Arabidopsis thaliana: one gene and its partner. The protein of the gene in region 1 interacts with the protein of each later gene in a pairwise test. Each region holds a gene or a part of one and is shown on either strand. Other genes may lie near its edges.

Region 1 (6,959 bases):
TTAGTTTTTAACTATTTAATTTTATTTAAGTATTACACATCCAAAAATATGAAATAGCCAGGCTCATCAAACAAATATGTTAAAATGAAAAATATAATCATCATTTAAGACTTAAACTATACTTTACCTCACCAAAAAAAAAAACTTAAATAGGCAGTCCAAAAATGGAGAAATTAATAACTAATTTTAGTCTTTAGACATAAAAGCATTGTTTGGTATTTCACAGGTCTAATCTAAATTTTCTTTAAAATAATGAGATTTAGTGTGATATATGAGGAAAGAAATCTGGAGATAATGATTGGTACATTGTTCTGATTGGATTCTACCAAAATAAGTCATCACTGAATTGTGAAAATCCCAAATGTCAGAGCTCTATTGCTTTCTCTAGATTTTGTGGATGTGTTTCATTAAAAGGCTTTTGCCAAGTTTCTACATCACTCATATCCTCTTAAAATAATAAAATTTGGAAATAAGACCACTTTTTCGAGGACAAATTTGAAAATAATATTGCTTTCAATGCAAAAATCATCCGTTTCATCGTTTTGACGGTTTTTCGTTAAGCTATAACAGATTCAAATTCAAACTACCTTCTTCAAGAGCAAAATCTATTTTGTAGTCATTGTGAATAATACATTTGATACACACTATTAAATTTCTGTGAATTTGTTTAACACATACAACTCAAATTCTACATACTAAGTTACTAACCTTTCTTTTTTTCATATATAGAGGACAGTTTTTACGTCATACCACTTCATCGTCTACGTAAGGTTATATAATTGATCTCTATGAGTATATATAAGATTTTTTTTTTTTTTTTTTTTTTTTGGGGGCACAAGTATATATAAGATTGTCTCACAAATTTCTTGATTGGTCCATTATTTATAGAATATATTGACTTTATTAGATACTACTTTTTTGTCAATGCATCTTAATTAGTGGATAACACATACGAGTTTGAAGTTCTTAGAAAATTTATAATAAAAGAAAAAAGCCTAAATTAATATTTTATGTTTTTTTTCCCAGATATCACACAAATTTATGGAAACCAGTGTTTTTTTTTTAAAATAGAAAAATGCATATGTTACTATTAGTCCTGATTTTATTTGTTTTATTTTTTTAAAGGATATTAGTGGGTCTGCGCACTTATAGAATGTTCGTATATACGTATGGCGTTTTATTCTCTTTTAATGAATTGGTGAGAGACATAGTCTCCTCCTATTCTACCAAAAAAAAAAAAGATTAATATAGAGGTATATGCATTTGCATGTATTACAAGTATTGAGCAACTGCACCCACTAAAATTCGATAGATCAAAATAATTTTCTAAATACTAACCATAGTGTCTCCACTAGAACGTTTAAACCCGCGTACGTTAGTGATATCAAATAAAAAAACTAAAAATTTTAAAAAATCACTCTTTCCGTTTTTTGTTTTTTTGTTTTAAGTTAAATTTCTCTTTCAACTGTTTTATACTTAAATAAGTCCAAACAAAATTATGATTATCTTCACTCAACCAAAAGTTGAATGATCTTTTAAAAAAATTAGACAAGCAAAATTGACATAATCATATGCATATTTGAGAGCAAAACATGTTTTTCATGTTTTATATACATAATATATAGTATATACATTGTTTAACAGTAAAATGTTTTTTTTATAATAGAAACGTTATGTACAATATACAAGTCAATAAAAGGTTAAGGTCTTAACTCTTAAGTGTGGAAGTTGTGTTTTATATAAACATATATATAGTAATATCTTGTCTTCATAGATAAATAAAACCGTATATATATTGTTAACTTTTCTAAAAAATAAAAGAAAAAACGTATAAATTATGTCAATAATATATGGTAAAATTGAAATTCCTTGAGATTATTGGCTACTGAGCTGAGGCATTCTTATATCATAGTCGGAGACCTCGTGGTCTGCTTGTGCATCCTTCTTCATAACCGGTATTTCAATTTCTTCTATATTGGGATCAACCACCAGTCCATGCTAACATATTTAAAAGCAAAAAAAAAAATTAGTGAAACAATTTTAATTTATTTCGGAAAAAGAGAAAATATAGAACCTGATGCTGCATAGGAGGAAATAGAGTCGAAGGGTTATGGGCCGTAGTAGAATTATAGGCTTGGGCCCATTCTTGAAACATGTCACCGTTATGATTTGACACATTGGATTCACCCATAATGTTGTTTTGGTTCGAGCTTGAGCTACTTCCTTGCAATAAAGTTTCATACATTGCTGAATGTGCCGATGCGTCGAATAAATGGGCTTCGTTAGGCCCATTTTCAGTCAGCCATCCTCCAACGACGTCGTTTCCAAAAGGCCCACCCATGCTTTGCTGTTGTTGTAAAGCAGATGCTTCATATGAAGATAATTGGTCTTGACTCAATATATGTTCCTGCGTCTCAAGAAATTATTTAGTTACTAATAGATATTGTTGAATACATTATGCTTAGAAAAAAATAAAGGGGAGTTTAAATTATTGACCCGTCGTTGATTGACACGTGTTAAGGTGTCCATGAGCTGCTTCTCACAAGTTTCGTACTCTTCCATTGTTGTAAACCTGATTGGATCTGGTTCGTATTTCCTAATTATATATATAATTTGGATATAAGTATTAGTTACATAAATTTTCATACATTGTATCACATTCACTGTGTTTTTGGTTATAAAAAGAAGACCTTAGTTCTTCCTCTGCCATGAGAAGTTGTTGTTGTAACTTATAAACTTCATGCTCAAGTTCCTAAAATTGATGATTAGAGAGTAAATAACATAAAGTAAAGTTATTAGCTAGAGGAAAAAAATAGAAGATTCACCTCGACGTCGGAGTTGATAGCTGTAGGGCTTTTTTAAAATCATCCAATAAGAGAAAAATAAAGAAAATCAACTTCCGAATTATTGCAAATAACGTAGTTATATAATAATGAAAGTAGAGAAAGAATTTGAGACTTGGTAAGTTGAAGAGCAATATCATTCTCAGCCTTGAGTTGCTGCAAAGTCCGGAGTAGATACTGTCACGTGACAAGAAAATTTCGAGATCAATAATCTGAAATGTATAATTGTCCTTCATTGAAAAGGAGCTAGGTATATATACACACATGACACATGCACAATATGCTTAATCTAATTACATACCTCTTTGCTCTGGAAATCTCTGCAAGATAGAGTTGTCAAAATATGAAAAACTCAATTAGATTTTGATGATTATAAATATACGGTTATTATATGTTTAATTATTTATCGGAATAAGAGTAAGATACATACGGGCGTCGACTTTGATCGGGGAATACTAGAGCACTAAAACAAAATGAAAGAGAAATATTAAGAACAAATGAGTGGAATATCTTTAGAGAATCTATTAAAGCCTTGAAAGGTCAGCTTACTTCTCTCGTTCTTGATCAGAAAGATTGATGTATCTAGAGAAAACGTCTTCAATCCTGACAAGAGTTTAACGAATAAATATAGATCAAATGAATGTTTCCATGTTTTGTACAATTAACCGAAAGAAAATGTTATAAGACAACAACAACAAAAAACCTTGTTTTGCCCGAAAAGAGGCTAAGGCGATCAGAGGGAGAGAACATGAGGAGAGCAATGTCGATGTCACAAAGAATGGACAATTCATAAGCTTTCTTTATAAGACCATTTCGTCTTTTGGAGAATGTAACTTGTCGATTCGTTGTGTTTTCTATTCGTTTTATCTCCAATTTCACTCGACCCATGTCTCTTATATCCGATCAATGCAACCAACAAACTCAAAGACTCTTCTTTATTTTGGTTTAGGGAATGCGAAAATCTGATCATTGGAGGCAAAAGTGCCTATATATATATGAGAGATGTACGGACGAGAGAAAAGAGAACCATGAAAGAAGGAGAGGTTAGGTATAAGAGAGATTTGGTTAGAAATGTATGGAAGAGATTAAGAGAGATTAAAAGGGTTTTGTTCTTTGAACGAATTAAGAATATGATGTTATTTTTTGCCACAGAAAATTCATATAGGAGTATTGGGATCAATTAATAACGTTCAGATTAACCAGCATATATCGTTTATTTTGTCAATAATTAATTGTAAAAACAAAACATAAAAGTCAACTAGTCCTCTTTACCTCGCAATGGCTACTCTCTCAGCATATGGAGAGGCTTCGGCAATATCTACTTAATGGTCAAATATTTGACTTTCCTTCAACGGCTATATTTTCCGACCGTTAAACACTATCTCAAGGTGTTTTTGCTTAAACATTGTGAATTGTTCGTGATGATGTTCAAAGTGGAAGATTCATATGATTATTCACTCACCAAGACACCAATGTAAGTTCTGATTCCAATTCACTGCTATATATATCCTTGTATTATTTTATTTATTTTTCTTAAAAAAACACTTAGGAATGTAAACCAAACCAAAAGATGTAAAAAAAAATTGTAAGCCAAACCAAAAGATGTAAAAGAAAATAAAAAGAAAAAAAGAAAAAAAAGAAGAAGAATATTTTGTAGCCTTATGCATTGAAATTTGTACTTTTTAGTCAGGTGTACATTAAATAAAAACTATAGGCTATATGAGAAAACAATAAAATTATCACTAGGTTATATGTTTGAGTTGTACTGTTTCTTACATATATATATCAACACAACTCGTGGGACGTAGATCTTGCTCTTACATAAATATCTACGGCTTCTCCTACTGTCATATATATATTTTCTGTCTTTATTTTCTCGTCCAATTTTGCTCGCTTCAATTTGTGAAGTACCCTCCATCTGGGACTAGCGATGACTAACTGCAGCCCACAAACATAAAACAAATATTGGTAATTTGAAAATCCAATGAACCCACATATGTAACTATAGTGAATGAATAACATTTGATTGAGAAATAAAGATGTACCCGGATGTCATTAGAAGCTAGCTCTTGATGTAGTTCTTCAAGTGCAAATACTCCTGATGTATCTACGCCCATCACGCCTTCACCAATATTTTGTTACATGTAAGATTCAGTACCTCTACTATATATACAATAAAACATTTTCTATAAATTAGTATATCATGATAGAATGTGGGATGTGCTTACAAGACATGTCGAGAATTACTACTTGAAGACCATTTTCTTTTAGAACTTCTTGTTCATTCTCCTCTCCTTCTATTTCTTGAACTGAATTCAATATTCTGAAAGAAGAAAAAATATTTATTTTTTTTGTCAAACTGATAAGAGTTTCACAAGAGTAACTAATGATGTTTGAACAAAAAAAAAAAAAAAAGAAGAAGATAAATATTGATTAATGACCTGTCTCTTATAAAATTGGCATTAGCAAAGCATAGCAAAGGAGAACTGATTCGAAGAGTCAATAATCCTGCAGTCTTATTTGCCATTGGATACTGATTTATGTCACCGAAGATATCTGTTTTTGATAACCTCCCTAAGGCCTCAATGCTTGGTCTTATCGAACTCAACATTATTCTTGCAAACGATATCCCCACCTACATATATACAAATAACTCTGTTATATACATAGTCTTATCCATCAAAATTCACAGTGTAAGATCACAACTGATTAAGCTGATCAAAAGGATAAAGATCGATCACAAGTATCCATTCTCACAGCCAGTTTTTCAAAGGTACTTTAAACATATGTATTTGATTTTTTGTGTACTTATTTGCCACTTGAATGAAACAGTATACATTATTGATTGTTTTGTCGTACAGGGTCTGTCTATGCACAGCGAATTTGGTCGGCCTAGTAGCATTTTTATATAGCAGTTTTATTGGTTAGAAAATATATGAGATATCGACGCTTTTGTTGTCTATAGGAATAATTCACATGATTGAATATAAAGAGTTTTGTTGACTTCCTCAGGGCATCAATCAATCTTGAGTAAAAACAATAGTTTCAATTATATAGTTAATAAACTAGATCATAACCCGTGCTATTAATATTTTGTATAAATTAAATTGTATATTTTGTTATGTTTGTTATGTTTGTCAAAATTATTTGTTATATTTGTCAAAATTTAGTAAAATATATTCAAATATAATTAAATTTATTAAAACTTAATAAATTTAAAAGTTTTTTTTGTTTGGAGACGCACTATCTACATACAAAATACCCGTTTCTATTTTTTTGAGTATTTTTAGGGCCTGAAACTTTTTATCCAAACTGACTCAAACCCAACTGGACCGACCCGAACCGAATATTTAGAATTATTCTATTAGGTAGTAAATCATATACCCATTAATCCCAAACCCGAACGGGTTCTACCCGAACTCGAATGTGTTACTCATATGCCCAGCCCTATTCTCTGATTTAATTATCTAAAAAATCCCAATAAAACATATGTTTTGCTGACTACTTTTTATTCAAAAAAATTTACATCCTCTTTTGCCAAAATCATTTCATAAGACATCCCAAAACCCTTGGAATAATGATTCCATGAATGAAGAATCCTAATTTGAATATACCAAGAGGTTTTGAAAGGTTTTAAGTTTTTGATAGGTGTGTATGTGAGAAGGTACATCCATCGTGATGGTAATCTGCTTATTTATAATTTTAACTTGCATTATACAGCAGGTAGGCTTATATTTTAGTTAAACTAAAAACTTTTATTGTAAAGTTGATTATAAATATATGATATTATTTTATTTGATTTTAAATGTATAGTAAACTGCGAGTTGTATATGTTTTGTTGATATTATTTATATTGTTTAGTGTTTAAAATTATATACTTGTATTTTGATTGTTAATTTTAGAGTTTCACCTGTAGTATACCATCTTGTATTAATATTGATTTAAACCCGTCAATTCTAGGATTTTTCAGCTTGTATTAAAAATTGAATCACATCATACACATTAAAAAATCTAATATGTTATTAATTATTGTAGTATATAAGATTATAAATTTTAAAATAATATGTATGAAATTGAATATAAATATTCAAATTATGACACAGTACTCAGTAAAAA
Region 2 (5,390 bases), on another chromosome or scaffold:
AACATGAGGAAACTAAGAGCTTCTTGGATGCTTCTTTGGACACACCCTTTATAGAATCATTTGAGAGAGAGGTACAAGAAGAAGAAGAATCAAACTTAGACAAGTCTACTGAGGAAACAACAAAAGAAACAGAAAGTGATTTGAAGAGTTCTCCGGGACAAGTTTCTACAGAATTACTAGAAAGTGTGGTAAGGGAAGAGAATGGTCAGGAATTAGTCAAAAGTGCTGATGAGAAAGCAATGCTAGTAGAGGAAGAGAAGACTCATAATGTCTTGGAAGCATCTTCGAGCAATGCTCATACACAGTTGGTTGATTTAGACTATGGAAACGCAGAAAATTCTAGTGATGTGATACTTCTGCAAGTCCAAGATAGTCATAAGTCACCACTAGATGAGTCAGTTGATCAGGAGATCTCTAAGGAAGTAGAAAAAACAGAGTTATTAAAAGATTTTTGTGGTGAATCAACCCAAGAATACAAAAATAGAGGAAATGTTGAGGCCTGTGGAAACGCAGAAAATGCTAGTGATGTGTTACTTCTGCAAGTCCAAGATGGTAATAACTCACCACTAGATGAGTCAACTGATCAGGAGATTTCTAAGGAAGAAGAAAAAACAGAGGTATTGAAAGATTTTAATGATGAAACGCCCCAAGGATACAAAAATAGAGCCAATGTTGAGGAAGAATCAGTAGTTTTAGCTGACACTCAAAACTCACAAGATTCACAAACATGGACTCAACAGGTTTCACCTTCTATTCTAATCATCTTTGACATTTTAGACAAATCTGACTCCACCAATGATTCACTGAATATGTGATTATCCATAACCATTTACTAAGATAATAAATTTTACTAGCTTCTTCCTCTGTTGTTGGTTCTTGATTTGAAGTTTTAGTAATTGCTTTTGACACTTTTGTTTTTATTGAATAGTGTGGTATAGATTCTTCCCAAGGGATATCACCAAGAACATTGGAGATCACCCAGCAACTAGAGCAAGACGATGTTATTGCCTCTTCCTCAAACACCGTCTCTCAAGATATCAATAAAGATATTACCGCGGCAGTAGCCAATGACTTAGCTGCTAGTGAGAGGAATGATGAAGTGATTCTGAAACTTGATGAGCAAGTTGGAGAAGCTATGGAAAAGGAACTAGAGCTTAATTTAGAATCACTGCACCATAATATTGGTTTAGTCGGTAGAGAAGACGATGAAGAATCCAAGAAAGTAATAGAGGAAATGCAAAATGCGGAGATCCAAACAACAAAACACGAAAACAGAGTCTTAGGTTAGTCGTAATTCAAAAATGGAGAAGAAAGCATAGATGATCAGAAAAGTGTTTGATATTCCTATGTTATAACCAAATGCTTACTATTTTGCAGAAAATTAACACATTGATGATACTAACACACAGAATCATGATGACGAAAACAAGTAACGCTGCACATAAGGTACGGTACGCCACAAGGAAAATGTGTTAAGAATTCTTTTTGATCCATAACAGGTGAAACATTGTGTTGTATCATTATTTAATGGACTTTTTGTTTAATTATACAACTTGTAAAGGCAACTCATTCTTTTGTAATATACTGTATAGAGATGGATAAATCTTTTGAATATATACTCACAGAAGAACTACTAGCATTCATTTCTCTTCTTTTCTTCTTTGTTTTAATGTTAAGATTATATTAGCGAAACATATTACAACCTAAAGCTACCCATATCCATAAAAAACGAATCGAATCGAGAAAGTTTTTCGGCATACAACGGATAAGTAGTACAACAACGGCCCTAAGAGCTGCCGGCGTTAAAGGTGACTATTATATAACAAGATTACAATAAGTGTATAAATATTAAACCGTCTAACTAATAAGGAAAGAAATAAATTTAACTGTGTTTAACATTTTTGTCTTTCTTGGTAAGCATCTTCAAGTTAGTATATTTTCCCTTTTGGCAAACTAAATATTCCCAATTTAATTCTTCTTTCCTAAACTTTCATGATCATTTAAATGTTCATATCTCGTGATCTTTGACAACCTTCCATAAACACAAACCTAATCAAGCTCAATATATAAAATCTCGCATATATTAGCTTGATTCACCCTTATTCCGACAGAAGCTCCAAAAAATCGGTTTTGGTATAAAATCTCATTGAAACTTTTGCTTTGATATTCAAGTAAGGATACTATCTTTTCCATAAACAATTTCTACATTTGTTCATTAATTCTGCTCTGGCTCTAAGGTATTTCATGTTTCATTTGTTCTGTTGTGGGATTGATTTCGTTTTGAGGGTGTCGAGAATTAGCTAGCTCCTACTTCTCGGATTTTGACTATTGGCTTTGCGTTTTCTCATTTATTCGTGAGTGTAATTTTAAAATTCTTTCGCTCTATCCTATGGTTTGTGTGGGGATTGAGGCAGCATAGAAAAAACGCCTTTAATTTGGGTTGTTTTGATCATAATTTGAGTGTTTATAGACCAACTATTCACAAAACGCCTATAAACAAAGTATTTTACAAAACATATCAATTCAATTTATTTGTACTTTTGTTTTTGGGAAAAAGGTTTATATGTTTATATGTTTTTTTTTGTAATATATAACAATAACTCAGGTTACAAAGGATGGTTCCGAAAGTGGTCGACCTACAAAGGATAGCGAACGATAAGACAAGGATAACAACTTACAAGAAGAGGAAAGCTAGTCTTTACAAGAAGGCACAAGAGTTCTCAACTCTCTGCGGCGTCGAGACATGTCTCATCGTCTACGGTCCCACGAAGGCTACCGATGTGGTGATTTCCGAGCCAGAGATATGGCCGAAGGACGAGACCAAAGTCAGGGCCATCATACGCAAGTACAAAGACACAGTGTCGACCAGCTGCAGGAAAGAAACCAACGTGGAGACTTTCGTCAACGATGTAGGGAAAGGAAACGAGGTGGTGACTAAAAAGAGAGTGAAGCGTGAGAATAAGTATTCTAGTTGGGAGGAGAAGCTAGACAAGTGTTCACGAGAGCAACTACATGGGATTTTCTGTGCCGTGGATAGCAAGTTAAATGAAGCTGTAACGAGACAGGAGCGTAGTATGTTTAGGGTTAATCATCAAGCCATGGACACACCATTCCCGCAGAATTTAATGGACCAACAATTCATGCCACAGTATTTTCATGAGCAGCCACAGTTTCAAGGCTTCCCTAATAATTTCAATAATATGGGTTTCTCGTTGATTTCACCTCATGATGGTCAGATTCAAATGGACCCAAATCTCATGGAGAAGTGGACCGACTTGGCTTTGACTCAAAGCTTGATGATGTCAAAGGGAAACGATGGTACTCAATTCATGCAGAGGCAAGAACAACCATACTATAATCGTGAACAGGTTGTATCGAGGTCTGCAGGTTTCAATGTTAACCCGTTTATGGGATATCAAGTCCCGTTTAATATTCCTAATTGGAGATTATCGGGAAATCAAGTTGAAAATTGGGAGCTTTCAGGGAAGAAAACGATATGATTTGAATTACGGAGCTTTATTAGTTTTTAGGGTTTTATAGTTTTGTTTCTGTTGGGGTTTTTAATTTTTTTTTGTGTATGATGGCTTGACATGCAAAAGTCAAGTGTTTTTTTTTTGACATAACATCATCTTTTTACATTTTATACAAGTTTCGGTTATACGTAAAGTTTTCTTTAAACACTCAGAAAATAATGTACCACTTATTTTATTATATTATCCTTGGTTTTTATATGATCATCTCCCAAATTGTCCCAAAAAACAAAATCTATAAGAACTAGTTAAGATGAATTAATTAATCATTTTACTTTCCGTGTCGAGTTTTAATTGGGATGGTAAGACATTGACAACCCTAACCACTAGACTATAAATCTTGCAACTGAGTAATTTATTTTTGTAAAAGCTTTTTTAAAAGAAAATATCTTTTTTAATCTTTGTTGATTATTCAATTACTTGATAGCTTTTGTTCATTGTTTTAAAAGCTAATTAATAATTTGTACCTTTTTGTTGATTGAATTCCAAAATTCTTTGGTTATACCAAAAAAACAAAATACGTATAGTGTCTACTGTCCTACAGACTATCTATAGCGTGTCTAGAAAAAGGAAAAAATAAAAGAAAAAATTAAGGACTATAAAGTTTAATTAGTTGCACTGTTCTCAAACATTGTCCGTTGTTATAACTTCAAGTGGTTGTTGAAAGAATAGTTTGGTTGATTGAGACGAACAACGAATAATGCCATATTGTGATCTATACATTATTCAAACATTACACGACAAATATTGGATATTTAAGTTAGAGATGGCCAACTTTGTGTCTTTGAACCTTTTTCCCTGCAACTTGTATTACAAACATATTTTTTTAATTTTTTCCCTCAACAACTAACACTGCACAATATCGGATTTAATATTTTTTTTATGCATCATACTATATAATATGATAATGCTGATATGAATTAGACTATTGTTGTGTTTCTCAAAAGGGGTTATTCACAACCACCATTTGCATATTTGGCACTGTTTAGGATTTGTTTAAGCACTTCTTACATCTGCTAATTCGATCGGGTTTGTCTATCGTACACAACACATATGATGATGTTTTGTTAGGTTTAGTCTCGGTTTACGCTTCAAGCATGTTCATGAATCTTAAACCGCTGATGAACTTGTGTGTATTAGATGTGAAGCTGTGACAGCCCATTTCGTATCGGTGGTCCAGAAGTGAAGTGGATGAGTAGTTGGAGTTATGTTGTATATATGCGTATAACGTAAGCTGTTAAAGACGATATAATTTGGCTTCACTTGTATATCGTTTTAATTTGGCATCACCTATCTTTCATTTTGTCACACCACTTGTTAATTTGCAACTTGCAACCATTTGAAACTTAACTAACAATTTTACTCAAAGATAACTTAGGCACTGTCAAGAGACTTTTATTAACTATTTCAATTTGGAATTAAAACAATGGACGTTTATTATACAATTGCCAAATATGATTGTTTCGTCCATATGAAAAATTAAGAATTTAACTTACACTTTTTAATTAGAGAGATGGATCTTCATTAGCTATAGTTGAAACATTGTGTTTTGGGCGTCATAGCAAGAATCTGCATTGTTATACCCTCCAATCATAACCTGGCCGTATGAATGAACGCCACTAATAGCGTTTCCAATCGTTATATTGAAAGCGTCTGCCTGTGTTCCATTGTTGTCCGTTTGGTTCCAAGGAAACGCGGTTAGCCTTGAACGCTGATCTCCAACAACAATGGAGCTCTTATTGGTCTCCAAAGAAGCCTCCTCTTCGAGATTTACGGTGGTTATGTCGTGAATGCTTGCTCGTCTCTTGTCCTTGCCGCCGGAAAGTTGCCGGATGAAGTACTTTTGGGCGTGGCTAGCTA

What was found.
Region 2: the proteins of AGL66 (region 1) and AGL82 interact in a two-hybrid assay, tested with the Arabidopsis thaliana proteins (one large-scale study listed by BioGRID).

The regions. Positions count from the first base shown.
Region 1 is NC_003070.9:29,313,337-29,320,295, forward strand, and holds AGL66 (AGAMOUS-like 66), read right to left. Parts: upstream 3,851-6,959; 5' UTR 3,732-3,850; coding exon 3,547-3,731; intron 3,447-3,546; coding exon 3,393-3,446; intron 3,307-3,392; coding exon 3,274-3,306; intron 3,164-3,273; coding exon 3,145-3,163; intron 3,021-3,144; coding exon 2,959-3,020; intron 2,854-2,958; coding exon 2,826-2,853; intron 2,753-2,825; coding exon 2,691-2,752; intron 2,597-2,690; coding exon 2,497-2,596; intron 2,408-2,496; coding exon 2,075-2,407; intron 1,999-2,074; coding exon 1,876-1,998; 3' UTR 1,505-1,875; downstream 1-1,504. Other genes in the region: AST56 (STAS domain / Sulfate transporter family), read right to left, coding at 4,629-4,781, 4,889-4,965, 5,072-5,166, 5,285-5,478. UniProt on the Arabidopsis thaliana protein: Probable transcription factor that forms a heterodimer with the MADS-box protein AGL30 and is involved in the regulation of pollen maturation at the late stages of pollen development and pollen tube growth.
Region 2 is NC_003076.8:23,778,217-23,783,606, forward strand, and holds AGL82 (AGAMOUS-like 82), read left to right. Parts: upstream 1-2,615; coding exon 2,616-3,500; downstream 3,501-5,390. Other genes in the region: AT5G58880 (LRR protein), read left to right, coding at 1-740, 929-1,283, 1,378-1,385; AT5G58900 (Homeodomain-like transcriptional regulator), read right to left, coding at 5,059-5,390. UniProt on the Arabidopsis thaliana protein: Probable transcription factor that may function in the maintenance of the proper function of the central cell in pollen tube attraction.